3 linked regions of the Coturnix japonica genome follow. The protein of the gene in region 2 purifies or fractionates together with the protein of the main gene of each other region. This does not show direct contact. Links are inferred from orthologs where the notes say so. Each region holds a gene or a part of one and is shown on either strand. Other genes may lie near its edges. The genes, in order: PFDN2, PPP1CC and TANC2.

The links.
Region 1: the proteins of PPP1CC (region 2) and PFDN2 purify together in Homo sapiens (affinity purification with mass spectrometry; 4 studies listed by BioGRID and IntAct, with this or other methods). This does not show direct contact. The link is inferred for Coturnix japonica from reciprocal best matches to the Homo sapiens genes PPP1CC and PFDN2.
Region 3: the proteins of PPP1CC (region 2) and TANC2 purify together in Homo sapiens (affinity purification with mass spectrometry; 3 studies listed by BioGRID and IntAct, counting the BioPlex papers as one, with this or other methods). This does not show direct contact. The link is inferred for Coturnix japonica from reciprocal best matches to the Homo sapiens genes PPP1CC and TANC2.

What each region holds. Positions count from the first base shown.
Region 1 is NC_029540.1:2,482,669-2,488,156, forward strand, and holds PFDN2 (prefoldin subunit 2), read left to right. Parts: upstream 1-1,966; coding exon 1,967-2,038; intron 2,039-2,165; coding exon 2,166-2,227; intron 2,228-4,445; coding exon 4,446-4,569; intron 4,570-4,653; coding exon 4,654-4,827; 3' UTR 4,828-5,125; downstream 5,126-5,488. Other genes in the region: NIT1 (deaminated glutathione amidase), read right to left, coding at 45-307. UniProt on the Homo sapiens protein: Binds specifically to cytosolic chaperonin (c-CPN) and transfers target proteins to it. Binds to nascent polypeptide chain and promotes folding in an environment in which there are many competing pathways for nonnative proteins.
Region 2 is NC_029530.1:5,180,890-5,185,217, forward strand, and holds part of PPP1CC (serine/threonine-protein phosphatase PP1-gamma catalytic subunit), read right to left. Parts: intron 3,169-4,328; coding exon 2,938-3,168; intron 2,083-2,937; coding exon 1,978-2,082; intron 1,100-1,977; coding exon 876-1,099; intron 421-875; coding exon 286-420; intron 1-285. UniProt on the Homo sapiens protein: Protein phosphatase that associates with over 200 regulatory proteins to form highly specific holoenzymes which dephosphorylate hundreds of biological targets.
Region 3 is NC_029542.1:2,057,538-2,062,925, reverse strand, and holds part of TANC2 (protein TANC2), read right to left. Parts: intron 3,459-5,388; coding exon 3,292-3,458; intron 2,522-3,291; coding exon 1,914-2,521; intron 1-1,913. UniProt on the Homo sapiens protein: Scaffolding protein in the dendritic spines which acts as immobile postsynaptic posts able to recruit KIF1A-driven dense core vesicles to dendritic spines.

The sequences.
Region 1 (5,488 bases), on a different chromosome or scaffold from region 2:
CCGCGGTGGTCTGTCCCCAGCCACTGCCTCCCATCTGTGAGTACCTGCCTAGTGCGTGCGGGGGGCGCGGGCACAAGCGGTGCAGTGGGAGCCGCAGCACCGCGCTCAGCCTGGGTAGGGGGGCACAGAGTGAGCCCCTCTTCAAAGCCAAAACTGCCCCAGGACACCCCCAGTTTGTCCCCAGGACTCTCAGGCTGCCCCTCAACCCGCTTCCAAGCTGCCCCATGTTGCTCCTAGCACCCCTCCCAAACTGACCCAACACCTCCAGACGGCCTCCAAGCCATAGACTGCCCCCAGGTAGCCCCATAGACTGCCCCTATGCAGCCCCATGTTGCCTCTTGGAGCACCTAACAGCTCCCAGGCAGCCCCAGGACCCCACCAAAGTGCCTCACAGTGCCCCCATGTCCCTCCTCATACCCTAACCACCCCTAACCATCTCAGGACCACCATGACTTGCCTCTAGAATGCACCAGCTTGCCCTCAACCCCAACCCACACCCCAGCTGCCCCACACTGCCTGTACAACCCCTCCATACTGCCCCACATTGCCGCATAGAAAACCCTCCATCACTGCCGTCACATTGCCTTAGAACCTCCATTCCTGCCCCACATTGCGCCCTTAGTATTAGCCACGTGCCATACTGGCCCCACATTGCTCACATAGAACCCTCCATACTCGCCGTCACATTGTGTTGCGGCTTAGGAACCCTCGCATTTCTGCGTACCACATTGCCCTCAGAAACCCTCCATACTGCTTCTTCACAGGCTCTTGCCCTTAGAAAACGCCCTCCATTTCTGCCCCACATTGGCCCTTAGAACCCTCCATTCTGCCCCCAACAATTGCCCTCTTAGCAAAACTCATCCCATTCTGCCCCACAATTGCCCACTCTAGAACCCTCCAATTCCTCGCCCCACATTGCCCTTAGAACCCTCATTCTGCGCCTCACATCCTGCCTTAGAACACTCCCATTCGTGCCCCACATTGGCCCTTGACAACGCCTCTCATTCTGCCCCACATTGCCCTTGACAGACCTAGCAGTGACTGCCCTCACAATTGCCCCTTAGAACCCTCATACCGCCCCACATTGCCCCTTAGAACCGCCTCCATTCCTGCTCACATTGCCTTAGACCTCCATACTGCCCCACATTGCCCTTAGAACCCTCCATACTGCCCCACATTGCCCTTACAACCCTCCATACTGCCCCACATGCCCTTAGAACCCTCCATACTGCCCCACTTCCCTTAGAAACCCTCCATTTCTGCCCCCATTGCCCTAATGCCCGTCCATATCTGGCCCCACTATTGGCCCTTTAGAACCCTCCATACTGCCCCACATTGCCCATAGAACCCTCCATACTGCCCCACATTGCCCGCATAGAACCCCCATATACATGACCCTCACGATTGCCGCTACAAACTCCTCCCATAACTGCCCCGACATTGCCCTTAAACCCTCTCATACTGGCCACACATTGCCCTATGAACGCCCCCATACTGCTTCGCCATCGCCCCTAAACACCCTTCAAACAACCCCATAGAACCCCCAACACCCTTCAAACACCCCATAGAACCCCAACAACCTTCAAATCACCCCCCTATTATGATAACCTTCCAACTGCCCTTAAATGCCCACTTTGATTCTCTCTTCCCATTGCCCACAGGATTTCTCCAGAACCCTGTATCCCCCCCCGGCCCGTACAATATCGTTCTCGCGGCCCCGCACCGAGGCGGGAGGCGTGACAGATGAGGGGTCAATGGGCAAAGTCCCTGCCACAACAAGATGGCGGCCGGCACTACCTCACCATATAGCCACCGCTGCCGGGTTTTGAGCCATAACCAAGATGGCTTCCATGGTGTTTCCTGTATACACCGGAAGAGCTTTACTCGCTGTCGCTCTGCGCCGGAAGAGAGGCTGCCCAGTTTCCGGTGTGCGCCGGAAGAGACGCAAAAACGGTGGAGGGGGAAAATGGCGGAACAGCGCGAAAGGGGCGGCCCGGAGCAGCGGGGCCGGGCGGGAAGGCGCTGGACGGCGGAACAGGTGGCGGGGCGGGGTTTGGGGACGGACAGAGGGACGATCCCGGGATCCCAGCGGTGACATCCCCGGTGGTTGTGGTTGTGTGGTTGTTTGAGCAGGTGGTTGGCTCGTTCAAACCGGTTTACGACAGGAACAGCGGCGGCCTGGCGTCCCAACAGGCGGCGGAGCTGAGCTGGAGCTCAACGAACACGGGTGGGGGGGACATCGGGGGGTAACGGGACGGGGGGGGGGGGGGTGGGGCTGGGGTTAGGGGGATGGGAATGTGGGGTTATGGGATTATGGGGGGGTTGTGGGGATATGGGGTGTGGGGAATATGGGGTGGTGGATATAGGGGGGGCGTGGGGACACGCGGGAGGGGTGTAGGGGCATGGGGGGGGTACGGGATATGGGGGGGGGGTGTGGGGACATGGGAGGCGTGGTGGGGGAATATTGGGGGGGTGTGGAGATATGGGGGGTTGGGGGTCATGGGGGCGGTACGGGGATATGGGGGTGTATGGGATATGGGGGGGCGTGGGGGGTATGGGATATGGGGTATGGAGACTGGGGACATGGGGGGCTATAAGGGGGAACATGGGGGTAGGGAAATATGGGGGGTATGGGGACATGGGGTCATGGGGGGGTGTGGGACATGAGGGAGGTACATGTGTATGGGGGTGTAATGGGAGACATGGGGAGGGTGTGGGGATATGGGGGGGGTGTGGGGATATGAGGGGGGTACAGGGACATGGGGGGTATGGGGCTATGGGGAGGTGTGGGGACATGGAGGCATGTGGGGATGGGGGTGTGGAGATATGGGGGTAGGGGTTTACATGGGTAATGGAATATGGGGGGGGGTATGGAGACATGGGGTCCATGGGGGTGTGGGGACATTGGGGGGAGTAACGGTGATATGGGGGTGTATGGGGACATGGGAGGGGTTAATGGGGACATGGGAGGGGGGTGTACGGGGATATGGGTTATGGTGACATGGGGCCAGTAGGGGGGTTATGGGTCATGGGGGTGTGGGGGGAACAACTAGGGGAGGGTATTTGGGGTCATGGGGGGTGTGGGACATGGGAGGCTACAGGGATATGGGGGGGTATGGGGACATGGGAGGCTACAGGGATATGGGGGGGGGTACGGGGACATGGGGGTGTGGGGACGTGGGGGGTATGGGGATATGGGGGGTACGGGGAACATGGGAGAAGTATAACAAGAATGGGGGGTGCGTGGGGGATGTTGGCATTATGAGACATGGGAGGAGGTCATGCGGGGAATAGTAGGGGTGTGGGGACATGGGAGGGCATTGGGGACATGGGGTGTGTGTGGGGACATGGCGCGCGGTATGGGATATGGGGGGTAAGCGGGAGCTTGGGGGGATTGTGGGGACATGGGGGGTATGGGATATGGGGGGTGTGGGGACTTGGGGTTAGGGGGGCAATGGGGGGGGTACGGGGATATTGGGGGGGGGGTGTGGGGACAATGGGGGGGTATGGGGAACGGGGGGGGGTATGGGGACATGGGGTCTTTGGGTGGGGTAGCCGGGGACATGAGGGGTACGGGGATATGGGGGGGGGTGTGGGGACAGTGGAGTGGGGGACATGGGGTGTGGGGACAATGGGGCCCAGTTGTGGGGACATGGGGGGGTATGGGGACATGTTGGGGGTACGGGGATATGGGTAAGCAGTGGTTGGGGGCACCTGGGCAAATGGGTGAGGGGGGAAAAAAAAAGGGGGGGAAAAAAAAACGGGGGACGTTTATGGAATAGGGGCAAGCAAGGGAATGGGGGGGGGCACGGAGGACATTGGGTACCAAGGAGGGGTGGGCAGCAGAATGGGTTTGGGGGGATACTGAAGGGAATGGGAGGGTAATGGGGGTGTAAGGGCGTGGGCTGGGAGAAAGATGGGGGTTGGCAAAGGGATATGGAGGGGGGGTGGTAACAGTGAATGGGGGAGGCATTGGGATAGGGGGAACCAGCGGGGGTGTGGGTGTCAGTGGGATGGGTGTGTGAGGGACGTTGTAAGGGGGGGGGATGTGGGGGGATGGAAATGGGTGTGTGGAAGGTGGGGGGGGACAGTACGGGGGGGGGGGGACGCTGGGGTGTCACTGGGTGTGTGAGGGACACCAGGATGAGGAGACACTGATGTGTCGGGGCACGTTGGGGATATGAGGGGGGACAGTGAGGATGTGGGGGGGGGTCATCGAGTATGGGGGGGTGACTTGGGGAGGATGTGGAGGGCGTATTGGTTGGAGGATAGGAGCTGACACTGGGGTGTGGCGGGGCTTGCATGGGGGGGGGGGCCTCCCTGGATGGAGGAGGAAACATATGAGGAGTGGTGGGAGCGACGCTGTGATGAAACGAGGGATCTGGTTGAACGCTGGGAGCGCTGCAGGGTTGACGGGGGCTGACGGACCCCCCCCCCCCCAACAGCCTCGTGATTGAGACGCTGCGGGAGGTGGATCCCACACGGAAGTGTTACCGCATGGTGGGGGGCATCCTGGTGGAGCGCACTGTCAAGGAGGTGCTGCCCGCACTCGAGGGCAACCGAGAGCAGGTAACTCCAAACCCCCCCGGCACCCACAGACCCCTCCGCTCCCTCCCATAAAGCCCCTAAAGCCCCTCCTCTCTCTCCTCCCAGATCAGCAAAATCATCGAGTCGTTGAGCCAGCAGCTGCAGAGCAAAGGCCGCGAGCTGAACGAGTTCCGTGAGAAGCACAACATCCGCCTGGTGGGCGAGGATGACCCCCGGCAGCCCCCCAAGGACGGCACCGAGGGGGGCAAGGGCGGCACTGCCGGCGTCCTGGTGTCGTAGCCTTGTCCCCCTGCTGCCCCCTGCCCTCGTTGAGTGATTTTGTTGAATAGATGTGGGGATTTTGGGTCACAAGTGTTCTCTAGTTACGGGGCAGAGCCCTGGGAGGTGGCACTGAGGGCGGTGATAGCGGTGGCACTTTGAGGACGCCCTTGAGCTGCCCCATGGCTGCTGGTGGCCGCCTCCTTCCTGCACCACGTCCCTGCTGTGCCCTGGGCTGTGGGGGAGGGGCACACAAAGGTGTCACTTCTGCTGGGGGTGCAGGGGACAAAAAGCCACCAGGACGTTGTCCCCGCTTGGATCCTGTGTCCATCTTGTGCTGTTTCTCTTCCAAAAGTGTGTTCCTTTGGCAAAGGGGATGTGGGCAGCTCATGAGGGGGTCAATAGGGCTGGCACTGGGGGGGGACAAGGGGACATGGGGATGCTGGGGGCACACACAGCAGTGTGGGGATGCAGAGACATGGGCTGGTACTGGGGGATTTGGGGGCATGGGGTGATGGAGGTGCTGGGGGTGGCATGGGGGACACAGGGACAACGGGGTGTGGGGATGATGCTGGTAATAGCACGGGGACATGGGGCCATGTCTTTATGTTACGGGGGGGTTGTGTGGCCCCAGGGCTGGTGTTGGTGGGGGGGAAAGGGGACACGACCCCCCTGTGGGTGT
Region 2 (4,328 bases):
CTTAGAGAGCAGCTGACCAGAGGGCCCATGCCAATGGAAGCAGGAAGACAGCTGATAGCTTTGCTCCAGCTATTTAATCCCAGGGTCAAACAGTTCATCTACTCACACCAGAAAGGGCTTATCACATTTTTAAAGCCACAAGGGCAAACACAGCTCTGCCTACACTCAATACGTGAGATCTATTTGAAGCAGGTGTTACAGGTGTGCGATGGCACAGTATAAATGGAAAAGATGAAACAAAGTGTTACTGCAATAACTGGGAGGTAAAGTTGTCAGATACAATACCTGAAAAGAACACATTAAGGTTTCATCCACGCTCATCATGGCACCTGCGTTATCAAACTCTCCACAGTAATTTGGGGCAGAAAAGAGAGTTACCAACTGTCTTTTTGCAAAGAACTCGTATCCATCTTCCACAACCTTTGGAGAGAAACACAAATTACACCAGGCAATTTCCTCCAGACAAAGTACAGTGAAACGCAGCTCTAGCAGAGTCAGCAGCTGAAGAAACAGTCATAGCCAAGGAGCACCAGTCCTAGACTTTCACCCCCAAACTGGGAAAACATCACAAGCTCCAGCTCAACAAGGTCCATCAGCAATAAAAGCCACCAGAGTTCTGTGACGTTGAAAGCCATCTTGTTCAAATACCAGCCCCACACTATGAATGCACTGAGCATTAATTACAAAGGCTTTTAAACAGCAGACAAGCTGCTCCAAGATGCTGGAATCTCCATCCTTGCTTATATATAAAGCCAGCTGGATGAGATCTTGCATGTCTGTTTTGCTCCACACTGAGTACACGTGCATGGAGATGACCACCTCAGGTCCCTTTCCATTTCAATTATCCCATGGTTTAATGCACAAAGTTAAAATACCTGATGAGCTCTACATATGAGATCCAAATCATGTTTATGGAGAAACTTAGCAACCACTTCAGCTCCAAAAGTAAAGGACACTCCTCTGTCATTTTCACCCCATCCTAAGACATCTTTGTCAGGGTCAGACCACAGGAGATCACAAAGAAGACCTTGGTCAGGTACATCAGTGGGACGCATAATTCGTCTGATCTGTTCCATTGACTGAAGGTCTGGTGACAAACCTGTGTGCAGATAAGATAACACAGCTTGCATTTTACTCCACCTTTACACTGTAAAACTGAGGAATCAGCTCAAAGATGAGTGAAGCTTACACAGCCTGATTCCCATCAACATCTGGTGCGGCCCAATGGCAACGTGAAACAACATTTCAATCCAGCATATTTTTAAAGCTTTTCTGACAGGGGACACTATAAGATATACTGGGAGCAAGGTAAGCAAAGCCATTTCCACATGTAAAGGATTATAACAATTCCACTTCAATAATCTGCAAGTGTCTGTTAAAAGAGCTCCTAAGAGGCATTAAATACTAGAAATCACAAGGCTTGTTTATTTTAAAGATCAGGCTGAATAACATGGAATACAGAATCAGATCTTAAACCACTTTTTACTGCTATTCCTCCCGAGAAACTGTTTTACTTGCAGGTGATAATACACACACTGCAGCTTAAATGCTTTGCGCAGCTTTTCCAAGTAGTTAACAACTATCACATAGCACAACAGGGCCAGTCTGTAAACAGAGCACTAAAACACTGTTCTCAGAGTGTTTATACAACTTCTGGTCATGCAAGTCAGAAAACCAATGGGGACTCTTGGAATAAAGGAGACAATACCAGATATGTCCCCTGACAAAGAATACAGAAGGCAGAACTACCAGCTCAGCTATTTATGACAGTACCACTAATCAAGCTCTCAACACAAAGTGATGCAGAGACAAACCCCTGAAGTTTCAAAGCCTCAATAATGAGCTCCAAGACACAAAAAGCCCCTAAAATGTTTTCCAGCAAGAGAGGAGCACATGTCATGAATATGGAATTGCCAATATTTCAGTATTATGGGGTATTACATCTTCATGAAATATCAACTAAAGAACTTAACTTACCTCCGTGACAGCAGAATATCTTCTCATCCACAATTGCTGCAATTGGTAAACAGTTAAAACAATCGGTGAAGGTTTTCCACAGCTTGATGTTGTATCTTCTCTTACCTAGAAAAGATTGGGGGGAAAAAGACCATTCAATCTACTTCTCTAACACAACTACAAGCTACCTACTATGGCTGCCTGTAACTAAGACTTGCAAAAAAGTCATCAATAAAACCTACAAGCAAATATTTATCTTCTCTAATACTCTCTCACATCAGATACAAACCCTGAATGTATCTGCACCATGTGACTAAACCTGTGATTAATCTCTGAGGAGTCAACTCAAATACCACCCAACTCCACTTCCTTGTTGAAAAAGGAGAACGAGACACAGAGAACATTTTGTGACCGACAAGCCAAGCATGTCCCCAGCAGAAGCTGTGAGAAAGCCTCAGTACCCAACCACCGTAACAGCTTTATCTCCTCTATGTGAGATTAGGTCACATCCTTTTGTAACATACAAATGTACACATCTATTAACTTACAGAATTTATTGGGAACTAGATTGCAAGTGCTGTAACCATAATAACACAGAACAGCCCTTTACCCCAATCACAGTATACCTCAAAAGGTACATGAAAGTGACTGAAACCATAAAGCAAAGTAAAATCCCCTAATCTCTGACCAGACAACCTGAAGAACTTTACAAATTCATACCAGTGGGAACAGTTGCTTTACTTCAGTGGCCAATAAATAAAATTACCTCTTTGCTTGCTGTTCTGTACTGTGAGGACCAGACGATAATAAGATCAATGCAAAGACTTCCTTTTGCTAATACAGACCACAGGGCCATCTGAAGTGTGCAGAACTAACTGCAAGTTCAGGAAGTGATTTAATACTGGAGGTCTAGAAGACAGTAAGCACCTCCTACCCTGCTTTCCCAAGCCAAAGGTCCTCCCATCTGACCATATTACTTACATTCATCATAAAATCCATAAATTCTATTAATGCTGGCACATTCATGGTTCCCTCTGAGGAGGAAAAAGTTCTCCGGGTATTTAATTTTGTAGGCCAATAGAAGACAAATTGTTTCTAAAGACTGCTTTCCTCTGTCAACATAGTCACCAAGGAATAGGTAGTTGCTCTCTGGTGGAAAGCCTCCATATTCAAAGAGCCGAAGCAAGTCATAGTATTGTCCATGGATGTCACCTGTAAAAAGCAGTCAGAAATGGCACGTAACTGACTTTGTCATATTTTACAATTATTTTCCCTAGAGAAACAGCACCAACAGGAAAAACCTGCAGACAGATACTGCCTGCAGCATTCCTGAAGATTACATAGTTTGTCTTCATGCTATCACACTCAAAGTTGATATCTACGTAAGACAATGACTAAGAACACATTATGACTCCAGTACGTATCTGCTTTAATATACTCATAGACTCATAAAACAAGTCCAACATCCCAAGAAATCAACTCTACATACTCAAACAAATCTGGCACCCAGTTAAATCCTTTTCTTGACTACAGGCTGCAAGATTAGAAACCCTGACTTCATTCTTGATACAGCCACACTTCAGTAGTGACACTGATGGAAAAACTGCCTGGGGAATTTCCTTTCCTCTATACCACGTCTGGTATTTTCCTGCAACAGCCAGTAACTCAAATTCCAGCAGGGAAGTCGTATCAGAAGAAATTGGTATTCCTGCCTTTGGTTTAAATCATGGTTTTGTTTCAGACAGCAGAACAATAAATCTGGTTTTAAGGCTACCACATACCATAAATATTGAACAAGCTACTTCAGAAGTAAATCCGCAGTGTTGGAGCAGGATAAAACACTGCTTCCTGGAACCTCTACTAACGTGCATTTATTAAAGATTTATTTTGACATCCTTCATCCCTTTAGCATAACTACACATGTGCATGTCTAAAAAGTGAGAACATCACCATACATAAATATGGTAAAACCAAACCAGAAACCACAGGTGATACAGAAATTTAAGCTTCCAGATTCTAAAACTGTGTCAAATCAGGGCTGAGATCTGGATGGCAGCTCCCATCAGCTACTGTGTCTTGTTTTCCTCCATGTTCAGTGACGACAGCACTGAGCAATAACTGATACAAAGGTTCCTTTCCAAAGCTTCTTCTGAATCCCTTTCCCAGGAGACTTGATCAAACAGGACCACTTTCTGGTTTGGGATTTCCTGCTTCCCCCTACAATTCCCATTTACCTCCTTCCCATTCCTCCACTCAAAGCATTCAGGACAGGCTTATTTTCCCTTTTACTGCAATCATTCATCAGTTTTGTAAGCAGAAGCAGCATCTGGCATTCATCCCCTGCTTAAAAGAGGATATCCATCTAAATGCCC
Region 3 (5,388 bases), on a different chromosome or scaffold from region 2:
GGCTCGGTCAGGGGCAAGCTGTGCTTCTTTTAGAGAAATAAAGTGAAAAATCATCATTTATCTTCATTGTTACTAAGGGTTTACTATGCCCTGAGCTCAACGTCTCAATATTAGCTGGACAGGAGGGTTTTGAGGAGCACAACAGCAGAATCTCAGGGGGTCTGCCCTATTAATCACCCAAATGTATCCTGCTTCATTATCTACCATCAGAGTGTAATGCAATTAGCGTGCATTATACATTAGAGAAATTTATTAGCCTTTCAGTACATACAGACTTGCACTCAAGGCACTGGCAGCCTGTTTTAGCACTGTGTAACTTCTTGCCTCTGGCAAGGCACCTGGTCTGCTGAGTGCTGGCAATCCCATGGGGCCCTACAGATGCCCACATATGCTCAAGTGACCACGTATTTACCACCTGAGAGGTGGAAGCCATCACCTCTCATCCTACCACTGTGAGAATAGGAAGCTCCTGGCCACCTCTGTAAGCACCAGGAAGAACAGTGCTGGGCTCAGGGAACCAAAAACACCTGGATTACACAGCTGCACAACTGGCTGCTATGTGCAGAATGCCACATATGGGGGTGTTCAGCATCAGGGGAGTGTTCTGCAGATGGGTTTCCTTTTCCTGCCAACACAGGATGGCACTGAATTACCTGAACTGCTCCTGTGGTGGTGATCATTGCTCCCAGGCTGCCCATACCCAGGAAGGGGAGCAGATCTCAGCTCCACAGGCATCACAGGCACACACACATTACAAAGAAGGTTGAGAAGAATTCTCCAGCGACAAGCACTTAATGACTCAAGAGGAAGGATATCAAATAGCTGCCATCGATTGATACAGAGCCACTCGCTGCTGTAAGATGCTTTCCAAAGGGTTCACTCGATAGGACTGTTGTGCAGAACCTATTAAAGCAGGTCGGTTTCCCATTGGGAGGAGCTACGTGCTATTTTTCTACTCCAGACTGTTTGCCACAAAATTTAAAGCAGTAAATTACTCTGAGACCGCCAGCAGCTATGGCTGCTTTGATCAACCAGGAGCTGTTTGGTTCCAGCAGACAATGCTGTGTTTCATCAGCCTGGTTGCAGGGCCTAGAGATGCCCCGATAAGGCTGAGAATCCAAGTGTTTCCCTGAGTTTTCTAATCGTATTTTTGGAGATGGGCAGGGAAAAGAGAGCAGAGCTTACAGGGATCAACGACCAGCATTACAGTCAGAGCGTCTGTTTCCACTCTTCAGTAAAAAACAAAAGATAACGCAGTTAATAGTGATCATTGGGCTTACAGAATGTAAATCTAACCATGATTAAATTCTGTTCTCTGTGAGCTAAGCCAGGAGCTCTGCTGCTGTCAGAACAGAGATTACACATGCACTTAAGAGTCCAACATTGCTAAAGCCTGACTCTGTTCCTCATTCTGCTCTCCAAATGACACTTAATAGGACTACAAGGAGCAAGACTTCAAAAAGAAGCCAGCTTCAAAAGATGCATCGATGCTGCTCATCCTTCATCTCCTCATCCCTTATTTTGCGTGGCTGGGAGGGAATGGAGGAAGATTCTCCCTCCTGCCAGAGCTGGGGATGTCAATGCAGCTCCCCCCAGCAGTGCCATAACTGCAGCTTCGAGCTGCCGAGTGTGGACCCTCCGAGGTCCTTCCAGGGCTCAGCTCACCCTGGAGATGACTCTGATGTTTCCTGGCTCATCTGTGTGCCCAGGAAGCACCCACAACTTTCCATGACCAACACATAGGTTTAAGGAGACCAGCACAGATGTAGACCCACACAGTGTGGACAGAAAGCCAAGTAAAAGCAACCTCATCCCATGTGTGACCTCAACCAACGAAGCGGTTCTCAGAACAGAACAGAACACTTTTAGATGAACACACATCCATAAACCCATTTCTCAGAGCGTCTGCTTACCGAGGATCACAAAGAAACTTGGTCTTTTCACCTTCTTCTCTCCAAATAAGCCATTCTCGGAAAGAGGGATGAACAAACATTCGCGTCATGTCTCTACGTTTGATAAGAAACATAGAAAGGTTCTCCATCCTCTGCTGAAAGTCATCCCACTCCAAAGTGCCCTCAATGTTACCTGCATTAATGGCCTGAAAAATATGCTCATCTGTTAAAGGATGCAGAGATGCCACTGCCACATTCAAGAGAGGCATAACCCGATCAAAGGAAGACTGCGTTGGGAACTTCATATTGCACTGCAACAGGTAAACTTCTGACAGAGACACTGGGACTACTTTGTAGCTGGAGCTTTTTAGTACTAGATATCCTTTCTCTATGAGATCAAAAGTGAGTTTCAGGTACAGGTAGGACCCTTGGCTCAAGGTCTTGAGGTGAGAGCTGAGTTTGCCAAAGGTGGTGTTGTCCATTTTGCCGTTCAGTGAGATGTTGTTCTGGATCTCCGAGCTGCTGTGTATCCGATGGAGGATGTAAGCCTGCAGGTCCTGGTCTATGGCTTCGTTCTCTTCCAGTCTATCCAAAAATATTCTGTGGAAGGGCAACAGCTTAATTATTTCCTGCAAAGAAAGAAAACAGAAGTATATTCATTCTGGGAATGCTTATTATTCATTAAGTAAACTTGATTTGTATTACAATAGCACCTCCGAGACTCCTTTAAGACCTTTTCCATCAGAGAAAGCACATGAGAAGGCAGTTTAAGCCCTCAGGACCTCACAACCTCATCTATAATCAAACAGTTTCTGTGTGAGACGTGACTGAAATAAAAATGCAGGATGTGGTTCCTAACACTGCATCCACAAGAAGGACCAGGAAACTGGCACAGAGAGGTGCCCTCATCATCCCCACCCCAGCCCAACCCAACAGCAACGTGCCAACCCTCCTGCTGTCATCTCAGCCATTGAAAGTGGAGGATGTGGAGGTGATAGAAGAGAAATCCCACTGCTGACCCTGACCAACAGGGCAGGTCACAGGGAGTAAGTTCCACTGTTTCCAAGCAATGATGTCTAGCTGGATACCATGGCCAGGGAATCTCTCATTTGCTAAGCTCACCAATGGATGTGCTTATAGAGCAAACCCCCAAATCATTAAATGCTTTTCCAACAGGGTTCTTATGTTATAGGCTCTGTCACTGCATACTGGGGAGAAATGACCCAGCAGAGACTGAGGAGAGCAGCCCCATCTCCTGAATGGTGGTGCAAAACCAAAGCTCACAGTGAAGACAACAGGGGATGCAATTTACCTACCACCAGCAAAGCCTGATACACCCTAAGCTATTCTTTATCACAGCCCATCCTGACAGCCCAGCAGTTCCCAGGACTCAGAGTACCTGTAGACTCGTCCTGACGGTCACAACCAGCTTCAGCCAGGAAGGGAATTTCCCAATCATTTTGCTCAGGAATGATACGATGGTGTCACCATAATCTGGCTTGTGAAATTCAGCCTCGTTTAAACCATCAATTAATATGATGAAATCTTCGTCAGGGATCTTCCTCTCTAAGATGCAAAAAAAAGAGAAGAAAGCATTTCCTTATGAGGCCAAACATGTGGCTACAGAGTACTTTAAGGGTAAGGGAGAAAGAAGATATGGTGACAACCTCTCTCTTATGACACACTAATTGCACATAGGTAGGTCCATGCATACTCAGCTTCCATCCTCAGAAAATAGGTATTTTAATGAATGAACACTCATTGCCAACATGAGCTGTCCACAATACTCCAGGGAGTTGAGTGGAATCCCATTCTGTCCCAGCCTGACGTTACCAAGTTGCATTTAGTTCTGAACGTACCACTAATAGCCATATGAAAAACACACAGTTTGCATTAAAGTCACCAGAGATCCTTTTTCAGCTGACTCCCTCATAAGCTCATTGGATGCACCTGGAAACACACTTTATGGCTCTGAAATCATGGAGTGAGTGGAGCCTGAGTTTTATATCCATATATCATGTTTCTCATAAAGCCCAAAGGAGGAAGCAGAGAGAGGGGAAGAATCCCTACTTTGTTCTCCTATATATTATTTAAATTCCTTGAGATTAAATATATACACATATTGGAGAAACATGAATATAAGTTTCTCAGTGATATCCATCATTAACCATTAAGCAACAATTTTGCCCCAGCACCATTAAAACTCCATCAGCACCTTGTAAAAGACCTGCTGATATATTTACAGTGCCTTAAACGTTATAGATCTTAAAACCAATTTCCAGACATTGCTCGTTTTGTTGCAGAACTCTTAGTAGCCATCAGCCTGCCAGCACTCCCCATCTGCAGAGCTGGAAGATATGGAGAGCCCTGATTCCATATTTCCATCCCCCAATAACTTGGGACCAGCTGGAGGTCAACCTGTGTGGCAAGAGAAACAAGCATCCTCCAAAATGCCCTATAACCCAGAGCTGAAATACCTCGCAATGAGTTACCCAGCTCATTTTCCTGCATGGCAGTGGCTCCCAACCCAGGACTGCTGGGAGGAAGGAGCAGCCCCACTCCTCCTACGGTGACATTTGTGCATGCCAAGAAAACAAAGTGCTGTGTTTGTGCTGGCTCTGCATACCCCCATGCCCAGGAGAACCACACGCATTGGGTGCACGCTGCTGCTCTGCACTTTGGGCCATTTCTGCAAGCTGCTCTGAACAACAGGGCTTCAAATCAGGTAGATGCGATGTTTGCTCAGATGTGGTGATAGGAAGGGTCAGAAAAGAAACTAATGTGGACTATTTGTGAGGCCGATGACAACAGACACCATTTTGCAGGACAACAGAGCCCTGAACTCTGCAGCACTCTGACAGCTTTCATGACAATGAGCAAAGACCTTCAGTGCAGTGACTGTCACAATGAGTTAGTGACATCTCGGGTGAGGAGGAAAGGAAAGGAGACAAAATCAATGCTGCTTTGGGAAAGCTCTGAGATCAGCAGTCAGCATCTGATCTGTTAGCAGCTGCCTTAGAAGCTTCAGACAGCATGTCTATAAACTCCTATGGTATCAGTCCTTCTGCTGAAAGCTTCCAATTCTCAAGAGCCTATTAAATAAAGAGAAGGAAAAAACACTCCCGCCCCCCAAAAAATATGAAACAAAATATGTTGTCATGTGCAGGGTTGTGTATGGAAACTGTCGTGTGTTTTTACCTTCAGAGCTGCGAGGCCACATTCACATGGGTGGACAGTGATAGAACAAGGAGGGATAGTTTTAAACTGAGATGGGGGGGGGGTTGGGTTGGATCTTAGGAGGAAGTTTTTCACCCAGAGGGTGGTGATGCACTGGAACAGGTTGCCCAAGGAGGCTGCGGATGTTCCATCCCTGCAGGCATTCAAGGCCAGGCTGGATGTGGCTCTGGGCAGCCTGGGCTGCTGGTTGGTGACCCTGCACACAGCAGGGGGTTGGAACTGGATGAGCATTGTGGGCTGTTCAACCCAGGCCATTCTA